2 linked regions of the Saccharomyces cerevisiae S288C genome follow. The protein of the gene in region 2 binds, or shares a complex with, the protein of the main gene of each other region. Each region holds a gene or a part of one and is shown on either strand. Other genes may lie near its edges. A codon is read from its position in the direction of its gene.

Evidence for each region. The genes of interacting proteins can lie anywhere in the genome.
Region 1: the proteins of NVJ1 (region 2) and VAC8 are in contact, whole or in part, in a crystal structure (PDB 5XJG), measured with the Saccharomyces cerevisiae proteins. Residues at the interface, in NP_012065.3 of Saccharomyces cerevisiae: Leu292 (codon at 1,899), Leu293 (codon at 1,896), His294 (codon at 1,893), Ile295 (codon at 1,890), Gln296 (codon at 1,887), Val297 (codon at 1,884), Ser298 (codon at 1,881), Pro299 (codon at 1,878), Thr300 (codon at 1,875), Lys301 (codon at 1,872), Ser302 (codon at 1,869), Ser303 (codon at 1,866), Asn304 (codon at 1,863), Leu305 (codon at 1,860), Asp306 (codon at 1,857), Ala307 (codon at 1,854), Gln308 (codon at 1,851), Val309 (codon at 1,848), Asn310 (codon at 1,845), Thr311 (codon at 1,842), Glu312 (codon at 1,839), Gln313 (codon at 1,836), Ala314 (codon at 1,833), Tyr315 (codon at 1,830), Ser316 (codon at 1,827), Gln317 (codon at 1,824), Pro318 (codon at 1,821), Phe319 (codon at 1,818), Arg320 (codon at 1,815), Tyr321 (codon at 1,812); in NP_010903.3 of Saccharomyces cerevisiae: Leu69 (codon at 2,349), Ala72 (codon at 2,340), Glu73 (codon at 2,337), Glu76 (codon at 2,328), Val103 (codon at 2,247), Ala104 (codon at 2,244), Cys106 (codon at 2,238), Ala107 (codon at 2,235), Gly110 (codon at 2,226), Asn111 (codon at 2,223), Lys119 (codon at 2,199), Glu141 (codon at 2,133), Asn145 (codon at 2,121), Gly148 (codon at 2,112), Cys149 (codon at 2,109), Thr151 (codon at 2,103), Asn152 (codon at 2,100), Ala154 (codon at 2,094), Thr155 (codon at 2,091), Arg156 (codon at 2,088), Lys160 (codon at 2,076), Arg182 (codon at 2,010), Arg185 (codon at 2,001), Asn186 (codon at 1,998), Gly189 (codon at 1,989), Leu192 (codon at 1,980), Asn193 (codon at 1,977), Thr195 (codon at 1,971), His196 (codon at 1,968), Arg201 (codon at 1,953).

The regions. Positions count from the first base shown.
Region 1 is NC_001137.3:127,095-131,377, reverse strand, and holds VAC8 (protein anchor VAC8), read right to left. Parts: upstream 2,554-4,283; coding exon 817-2,553; downstream 1-816. Other genes in the region: YEL014C (uncharacterized protein), read left to right, coding at 2,770-3,075; EDC3 (Edc3p), read right to left, coding at 3,094-4,283. UniProt on the Saccharomyces cerevisiae protein: Functions in both vacuole inheritance and protein targeting from the cytoplasm to vacuole (cvt). Involved in the formation of nucleus-vacuole junctions (NVJs) during piecemeal microautophagy of the nucleus (PMN).
Region 2 is NC_001140.6:489,242-493,518, reverse strand, and holds NVJ1 (Nvj1p), read right to left. Parts: upstream 2,773-4,277; coding exon 1,807-2,772; downstream 1-1,806. Other genes in the region: UTP9 (Utp9p), read right to left, coding at 1-1,588; MDM31 (Mdm31p), read right to left, coding at 3,123-4,277. UniProt on the Saccharomyces cerevisiae protein: Involved in the formation of nucleus-vacuole junctions (NVJs) during piecemeal microautophagy of the nucleus (PMN). NVJs are interorganelle interfaces mediated by NVJ1 in the nuclear envelope and VAC8 on the vacuole membrane.

The DNA of each region.
Region 1 (4,283 bases), on a different chromosome or scaffold from region 2:
ATCGTTGATTCGCCTTTATATATTCTTGTATTCTTTAAGAGACATGCATTGCGATAATTTCCCCATGATATTCTTAACCTTATGAAGGGTCAGTCTACTGGAAGGTGCATGAAATATGAGTGAACGTATTTTCATTAGCAGATGAGAGACACCGGGATTAAAAAAACTATGTGAAGAATAGTGTTGATATATGATAAAATTATTGTGGAAATCAATAATTAAGAGGTTTTATAGTGTAGTGGTTATCACTTTCGGTTTTGATCCGAACAACCCCGGTTCGAATCCGGGTAAGACCTATTTTTTTCCCCCGCTCAGCTAACTTGTATTTTTAATAGATCTCCCACCATCAGAGGACGAAGAGAGAACTGTATTATCAATTGTGTTTTATTACAATATATTCTAAAAACGAAGATATAGATGTTATCTAGAATTGGTTTTTGTATGTAGCCCTTCTCTCCCGCTTTCTCACTTTTTGAACATTACCTCACTACAGTTGCCATTCAACAATGTAACGAACATTATCCGTAGGTAAAATTTACGACACTTCAAACTTCTAGAAGGAAATAGGCATATACTACGGAACAAAGACAGCCTCTTATTCGTTTTTAAGTTTTTTCTTCTTTTATTAACAAAAAAAAAAATAAAATAAAAAAAATCAATTGAAATTAGAATAGAGTAGAGTAGGTAGAAGTAATATGATGTAAAAAAAGGAAACAAAGATTAAAAAGATGGAAGAAATGGAGAGAAAGAAAATAAAACTTCTGAGAAGAAAATTTTGATAAAAATTATAATGCCTAGTCCCGCTTTTGAAGAAAATCAATGTAAAAATTGTAAAATCTGTTGAGTAATATTATACAATTCCAAACTTGCATCCTCTACAGGTTGATGTTCAGATCCTGTGTCATTGTTATTACTGTTGTTATCATTCGAGCTTGGATTGTTGTTGCTCCCCGGATTTTTAACATCAATTCCTGATCTTTGTAAACGCTCAAAGGTCACATCTGCCATTTTTCTCACTCCGTTAATGATGTCGTCATCATTTTTAACCAAATCTTCCACTTTATCATTATGACTTTCTAGCAATTGTAAAATTGTCCATAGCGCAATGTGTTCAAAGGTAGCATAGTCACTTTTCAAAAATCTAATCAGAAATCCACGAATGCCTTCATTCGGACGATCCCATGCTTCAATAATTTTTGTATAATTATTCACTCTTGAACATAGATTTGCCAAAGCAGCAGCAGCATTACCAGAAACTTCTTGGTTCTGGGAAAAAGTCATAGGGATTAAAGCATCTAAGATATTTGCTTCCAGTAGATCCAATTTGGAGACATCTGCTAGGGCTAAAATAGCAAAACATGCGGAAATTTCACTTTGAACACTAACAGGTGAATCTAGAGCCAGTTCCTTACATTTTTCGACAGCACCACTTTCGAAGAACTCTTTTCTGTTTTTTTCAGATGATGCAGCCAAATTTCTCAAAGTAGATACGGCGTGACATTGAATTTCTTCTGAATCCTTATAGTCCAACAATCTTACTAATGGTTTTAAGAAACCTGCATCAACAATTAAACCTTCATTTAGAGGGTGAATAGAAATGTTTCTAATGCATGCCACACTAGCCAAAACCAGTGGTATAGAATCACTTTGAATCAACTTTACCAAATGAGGCAACCCACCAGCCCTTACAATTTCTAATTGGTAGCTTGTATCGGACGCTAGGTTTCGTAAAGCCAAAGTAGCTTGACATTTTACCCTTGAAGATGGAGAATCCATCAGACTAACCAATTTGGAAACCAATCTTGGCTCAGTTTGAGCCAACTTCTTGCGATTGGCTTCATCCACTGCTATATTTGATAAAGCAGTAGTACAATAGTACTGAACATCAGGATCGGTGGACGACAGTAAAGATACCAATACAGGCACAGCACCTGCATTAACCAATTCTTTTCTATTTTCCTCAGAATGTGTCATATTTAATAATGCACCTGTAGCATTTCTCTGAACTCTTATATGTTTGGATTTAGCTAGCTTAGTCAATGGAATTAAAGCACCAGAAGTAGCAATCTTATGTTTATTGTCATCCCTTGTGGCTAAATTGGTAATGCATCCAACAGCATTACATTGAACTTCTACATTGTCACCCATCATTTGGTTTATTAATGGCTCTAAGCCTCCCATTTCCACAATTAATAATTTATTTTCATTATTAACGGCCAAATTACCCAAGGCTGCACAAGCGGCCACTTGAATCTGTGGATCTTGGCTTTGTAATAATATTAAGATGGGTTCCAGTACCTCTCTAGAGACCTGACGGACGTATTTTTCAGTAATTTCTGCGAATGCCAGAGCGGCGCTCCTTTGCAAATTTAGATTATCTGAATACACCAAAGTAGTTAGGGCCTTTAGTGGACCACCAGAGTAAAAGTCTAATTGGTCTTTATCCTCCAAATACCCTAGTAATAAAGTCACCGCTTCTCTTTCATTATCGGCAATTGGTGAGACACTGGCCTCGTCTGAAGAATCTTTCAAGCAACTACAACATGAACCCATAGTTGCAAATGTATATATAGTACAGAAGAAAGAACACCCTTATAGTTTGCTCAGTTCCTGTCTTCGTAGGATTGGAAATTGGCTAATTGCTTTTTATAGGGTTGTATAAATATATAATACCTTATTTTAACAACAAAAGGAAAAGTAGGAGATTGAACAGCGAGTCAACAAAAAAAAACAGAAAGCAAAGCAGACTCACACAAAAATTTGATCACAATGACAGCACTATTCTGCCTTGAATTGAGAACTAATATATTTCTAATAATGAATGATTGTATTATTATCAATTACTGGAAAGGGTTCATTTTTTCTTTCCACTCGTATTTTTTTCCTTTTCGTTTTGAGTCCTCCTTAAGGGCTCATTACCCGGGAAAGAGAAATTATTCAGATTTTTCTGTTATACCGTTACCTTATTATATAGATGTTCGCAGTTTTCATATTTGTGAGAGCCAACACATTATTGCATTACCGCTACAGATCCCACTTCCTTACCGTATGCTTATACGTATGTATCCAGTTTAGGCTAAAGTAATTCTTGGTTTACAAATCTAATAGCAGGGACCCGTCAGTGACGAAAAGATCACAGTTTTGGAACTTACGCAAAGAAGTTCTCTGTGAATAGGCGCCCTGTGGTATACCTATATCAATCAAAACAGCATCTTCTAGACTTGGCAAATTTGCAATTAAGTTGTTGATGGCAATCAAAGGCCAGCCAGAACAAATAATTCCTGTTGCTTCAATCCTGTCTGAAAAGAAAATATCTGGCATGCCGGATCCCGCATCAAACCCATTTGGAATATCCAAAGACCACACTTTAGTAGATCCTCGCTGTTTGTTACACCATGATATCATGCTTTTAATTCTGCTTTCAATAACTTCCGACGTCCCCGCCAGATCGCTCAATGTACAGTCATATCCCTGCATGGCATCGATGACTATTTCTACAGGGCTATTTAATGTTTCCATAGCAGATTCCAGCGACGATACACTATTAACAATTTTTCCGCCACACTTCTTGTAAATATCTGTTTGCTTTTTGACCATGGAATCCTGTAGTTCATTTTGAGAACATGTAAATAATGTTATGACACGGATATGCCCCGTTTGGCAAAGATGTCTACCCAACGCCAGAGCTTTCGCACCAGATCTGTTGGAATCTGAGGCTAGTATTACTACTAAAGGTTCCGGATTAGAATTTTGTAAACGTAAACGTGCACGGCCACCTAGTTTCTGCTTTAAGAAGAACGATGCGTTTACAGCAAAATTTTCTAGTAGCCCTGCCGAGTTAATACTGAAAAATTCGGACGTGATGCTCTCCATTTCTAGTAGTTGTACTGGTGTAGCCATAGGAATGTTCTGCTTAGTGTTCTTTGATCTGATGGTTGTTTGTTTATTTGCAGCTGGCAAGGATGTTGAGTTGGATCTTGACTGGCTGATGATCATCTGGCCTAATTTAGCTAGTACCTGATCCTTATCATTTATAACTGTACCTTTCGTTTTATCATTTATGGATGGAGAGTTAGTTGCAGAGTGAATTAAATGTGTAATATTCAAAGACTGAGTTATTGGTAGGTATTTGGGATCATCGATATCATCGACATCGTATTCATGTTCATCATCTTCCAAAACCAGATCATCTTGAGCATCTTGTTGCGGCTGAGATTGGTGTGTGCTTTGCTCATTTCTTGAAGAAATCTTGTTCCATGAATCTTTCTTTGCATCTGGAATAA
Region 2 (4,277 bases):
CTATTTCATCATCTTCACCCTCTTGCATAGATAGTTGTGCAAGATCCTCTCTCAATTTTGCTTGCCTCCTCAACATTTCTAATCTACCTTGTATACCGAGTAGAACAGGCAAGATCTCCTCTGAAGATCTTAATGCAGATTTTAAATGCTTGCAATTTTTCTTTGTATGTTTATCCTTTATAGAATTTAACTCCCCACTTTTCAAAGTCAGCAACCACTTAAGCCACAACGGAAGTAAATTTTCTTCATTCCATGGATTTTGTGTTATTGACTTTGATATAGTCAAAAATATCTTACTTAGATGATCTACTGTATTGATCTTGGTTAAGATGAATTTTTTAATCTCTGGTTCTGTCCAACTTCCAGACATCAGATCATCCAATATTTCTGTTGAATTAGCTTCTAAATGCGATGAGAGAATATTAGCAATTTCAACTTGATCTGATTTACTAACTTTCTTGTTTATCTTAGTTTCAGTCTCCTTCTTCTCATGTTGAACTTCAGGCTGAGCTTCTTCTTCTTTCTCTTCTAATTTCTTTTGGTCCGCTTCATCAGCATTATTTTTTTCATTTTTGTTTATTGTAATATACCCCTGAGTTTCAATTTCTTTTAAAGAAATAGATTCAAAGTTGGGTTCATTGACATTTAGCCATGAAATTAGAACCTGTTGCTTGCTGTTTATTGGCGTGAAATCTATAATTTCCAAATCTTCATTTACAACTATAGAACAAACTTTGTCGGCTTCGCCAATCTTATAATTATTAATTTTACCATCAGTAGTCAAAGCCATTATCAAATCATCTAAAGTTTTCAATGTCTTCACTTGGACAGGCCATGATTGGATCAGCTTTGAATCTTCCTTCAAGTCGTAAGCTATTAATTCTTCGTTGTTGGCAATTAACAGATACTTACCGTCTGAAGAAAATTCACATGCTACAGCGTCTGATATTTCAAAACTATACTTAGTAGAGGGTCTTCTCTTTGATGGATCAACAATATAAACCATCTGTTTAGTAATAATGCATACCAATAAAGTGCCATTTTGGTGCAAAATTTGGAAATGAACTATTTCGTCATCTTTACCATCAACTAGCGTAAAAGTCTTTAGAGGTTTCGAATTGTTATACTGTAATTTCTTAACGACTTTATCACTATCCAAAATCCATATATCAGACTCGTCTGTGTCTGCTCCCAAAATCTCTTTTTTATTCTTGATGATATTAACTATATCCTTACCATTAGAAGAGTAAACAACAATTCTTCCGTCAGGAAATCCGTTAACGAAAAAGTTTTCACATCTTTGCTCACTTGATTCACCAGTTCCTTCATCTTCATCTAATTTTCTTTTGATATTGGATGACTGCGTATCTATCAAATCACTACACCACCCAAAGAAGATTACATCTGAAACCTTCATATCGTTTGTCTCATAGTCAATATGACTCACTAATGAACTATTGACCACATAATCCTTAGTTTCATTTAATGGATAAATATCCACATTGTTCTTTTGTGCGACGCTTGCTTGGAATGCAAAACGAGTGGAATCATGCGAGAAGCTCGCCACCAAATCCAAAGAGGAGCCCATTGTGCACTACGGTATGTATATACGTGGAGAATGCCCGGCGTTATATATTGCAACGGAGTACTAATATGTATTTCAACTACATAAAGTTACTTGAAAACTCCATCTCATCGTTAAATTTTTCAAAATTTTTCATGTTTTCTTCTCACCTTTAGAAGAAAAAAATTTTCGCACCTCGTTGTAAGTGACGATGATAACCGAGATGACGGAAATATAGTACATTAGTATCTAAATGGTTGAGAGTATGCTTGTTCAGTGTTCACTTGTGCATCTAGATTACTAGATTTTGTGGGAGATACTTGTATATGCAACAATGATGAAGGCTGGTTTAACGACTTAAGGTCTATCGAGCCCTTGAATGATATGGGGAATGATGTACTTGATTTAAGGGAAGAGGTTGTTCTGGTATCCCGTGAGAGAGAGTCAGGCTCTGCAGTACTTTCCTTTCGGCATTTACTCTGCGACTCAACTTCTGAACTGGAGCTGCAATCCTTTTCCCGGTTATTATCATCCTCACCGTCTGCTTCTCCATTCGGTTCATTTTTGTCTTCTTCCAATTGCTTTTCCAGGTGACAACCTAACAAATCTTCACTCCCTACTTGGTTTAGTGCATTTTCGCTCTTGCTTGTCAAATGGCTGTTACTGTGTTCCTCTTTGGAGGTAAACTCATGTTCCCCTTCCAAAACGTTCATGTCCTTATAGCTTAATATAATAGGTTCGGATCTATTTTTACCAAATTGCAATACTGCTCTTTCACCATCGTTGTAATGCTTCAGCCTCCTTTCGTTTTCAATAAGATCTACATTACAATCGTTATCCTTATCTTCTAGCGTGGTCTCGCGATCACCGTCCAGTACAGTCCACGCGATAGGTAGTAGAAAGGATAGGAGTAGTATAAGAACGTATATTCGTGTGTCCAATTCGCTGGATTGTCTGGAAATGAAATTAAATACTTTACGCCAGCTCAGTTCACCAGCGTCGGGTTGTTCCGCAGTTAAAGCCTCACGCTTATTATCTACCAAGTTTTTCAACCTATCTATAGTGAAAATTAACTCATAGTCCACTTTCTGGGGCTCTATCCATCCCTGTCTTTCCAAATGCTTACGAACTGTTTTTTCAACACCTTTCAAAACGGCTACAGAAAGACCTAACGAAAAGATTCCACGAACCAATGGGGGACGAGTCATGCTTATTATATTTTACAATTATATTTGTAGCTTTTTTGATATTATGCACACACGCAAACGCAACAGTTGTTGGTTCCAATTTTTGTTTGGTTTAATTCCTTCTCTTCCCACACACTCTCTCACTCACAAAAATCTGGACAGAAGAAGCCTCACCTTTTTGTTTTGCAGCTCCTCTTCCCCTTCTCTCCTTCATAAGGGGGTGGGTCCTGATATTTTTCGTCTATTTTTTTTCAAATAGGATTTTCCGCAGTGTAGAAAGAAGAAAGATGCGTCACAAATTAGATAAACTGATAGAAAGAACGATGCTATGTAAATGCATATGTACAGAAAGTGACAGGAGTAGGTATTCCTCACGCGATAGCACCGAGACTCATCAAAATCACCTGGAGTATAAGTTGCAGTGACCAAAAGCCCACCCTTCTCAAGCGTAATGTCCTCTTTTCATCGTCAGCGACGTAGTCGGCGAAGGCATCGTACGCTTCCGCACTTAGATCCCGCATAAGGTATGAATCATATATGGTCCAGGAGCCCTCAAAATCAGACTTTTTCTTTACAATGCGGCATTTGATTGGGATGTATGTCCTGTGAGAATTGATGTACCCGACAATAGGCCTTATCAATGCACTATTGATATACGTTAAGCCAGAAGTGAACAGAGGGACTTCGGCTTTGACATTGTATAGTCTTAAAGAAAAGTCCATAATAAAGTAGTCGTTCGGGTCAATTTCATCAACGGCCGGGGAGAATCCTGGCCCAACCAGAGGAAGGGATGAAGTGTACCTTTTCGCTTTTTTGATTAAGCGGTCACCGATCTCTGTGAGGATTTCTGTCAGTTGCAGCGAGTCAGACGCGGCATCGTCATCTGGTAAAAGAACGTCGCCAATCATGTTCACGCGACCTTCGTTGATCCATCCAAAGGGTCCTTCGATACCGGCGTTCAGGTGATCGATGTCGAGATTGTCTACCCTAAACCTTGTCATTTGCTTCCATAGCAGCGTGGGGTCCTGATGCTGATCATCGGTTCTGAACTTCTTGTGGATAGTGAACATTGAATTGTCGTAGGTCCCATTGATATTGTTCGCATTCAAGATATCGTAGAACAACCAATGTTTTCTCAATTGCGGTAGATCGCAATTAAATATACTCACCTGGAATGGCCTGAACCCATTTGGCTGGTACAGTGTACAAAGGACATCGTTCATGGTGAATTTTGATATTTCAAAGTCGCCCGGCTGGTAGACGTTCAGATAGTTCTTAGGATCGTCGTCCTTTTTCCACACCACGTGTGTTCTGTCTATGACTCCTCTAAGCCCATTTATGGTCACTTCGTCTAGGATACCCTTCCCATTTATCCACTTTCTGAAATTCAACGATATGTCGACTTGGTCAATGGTCAGATCAAACTGTGTATAATTGCCATTATCAAAGTCCTGTTGGTTAACCAATATTCTCTCACTAAGGGCCAACTTCGCCCTTTGCAGGGCATCCTGCTGTGAACCCTTGGT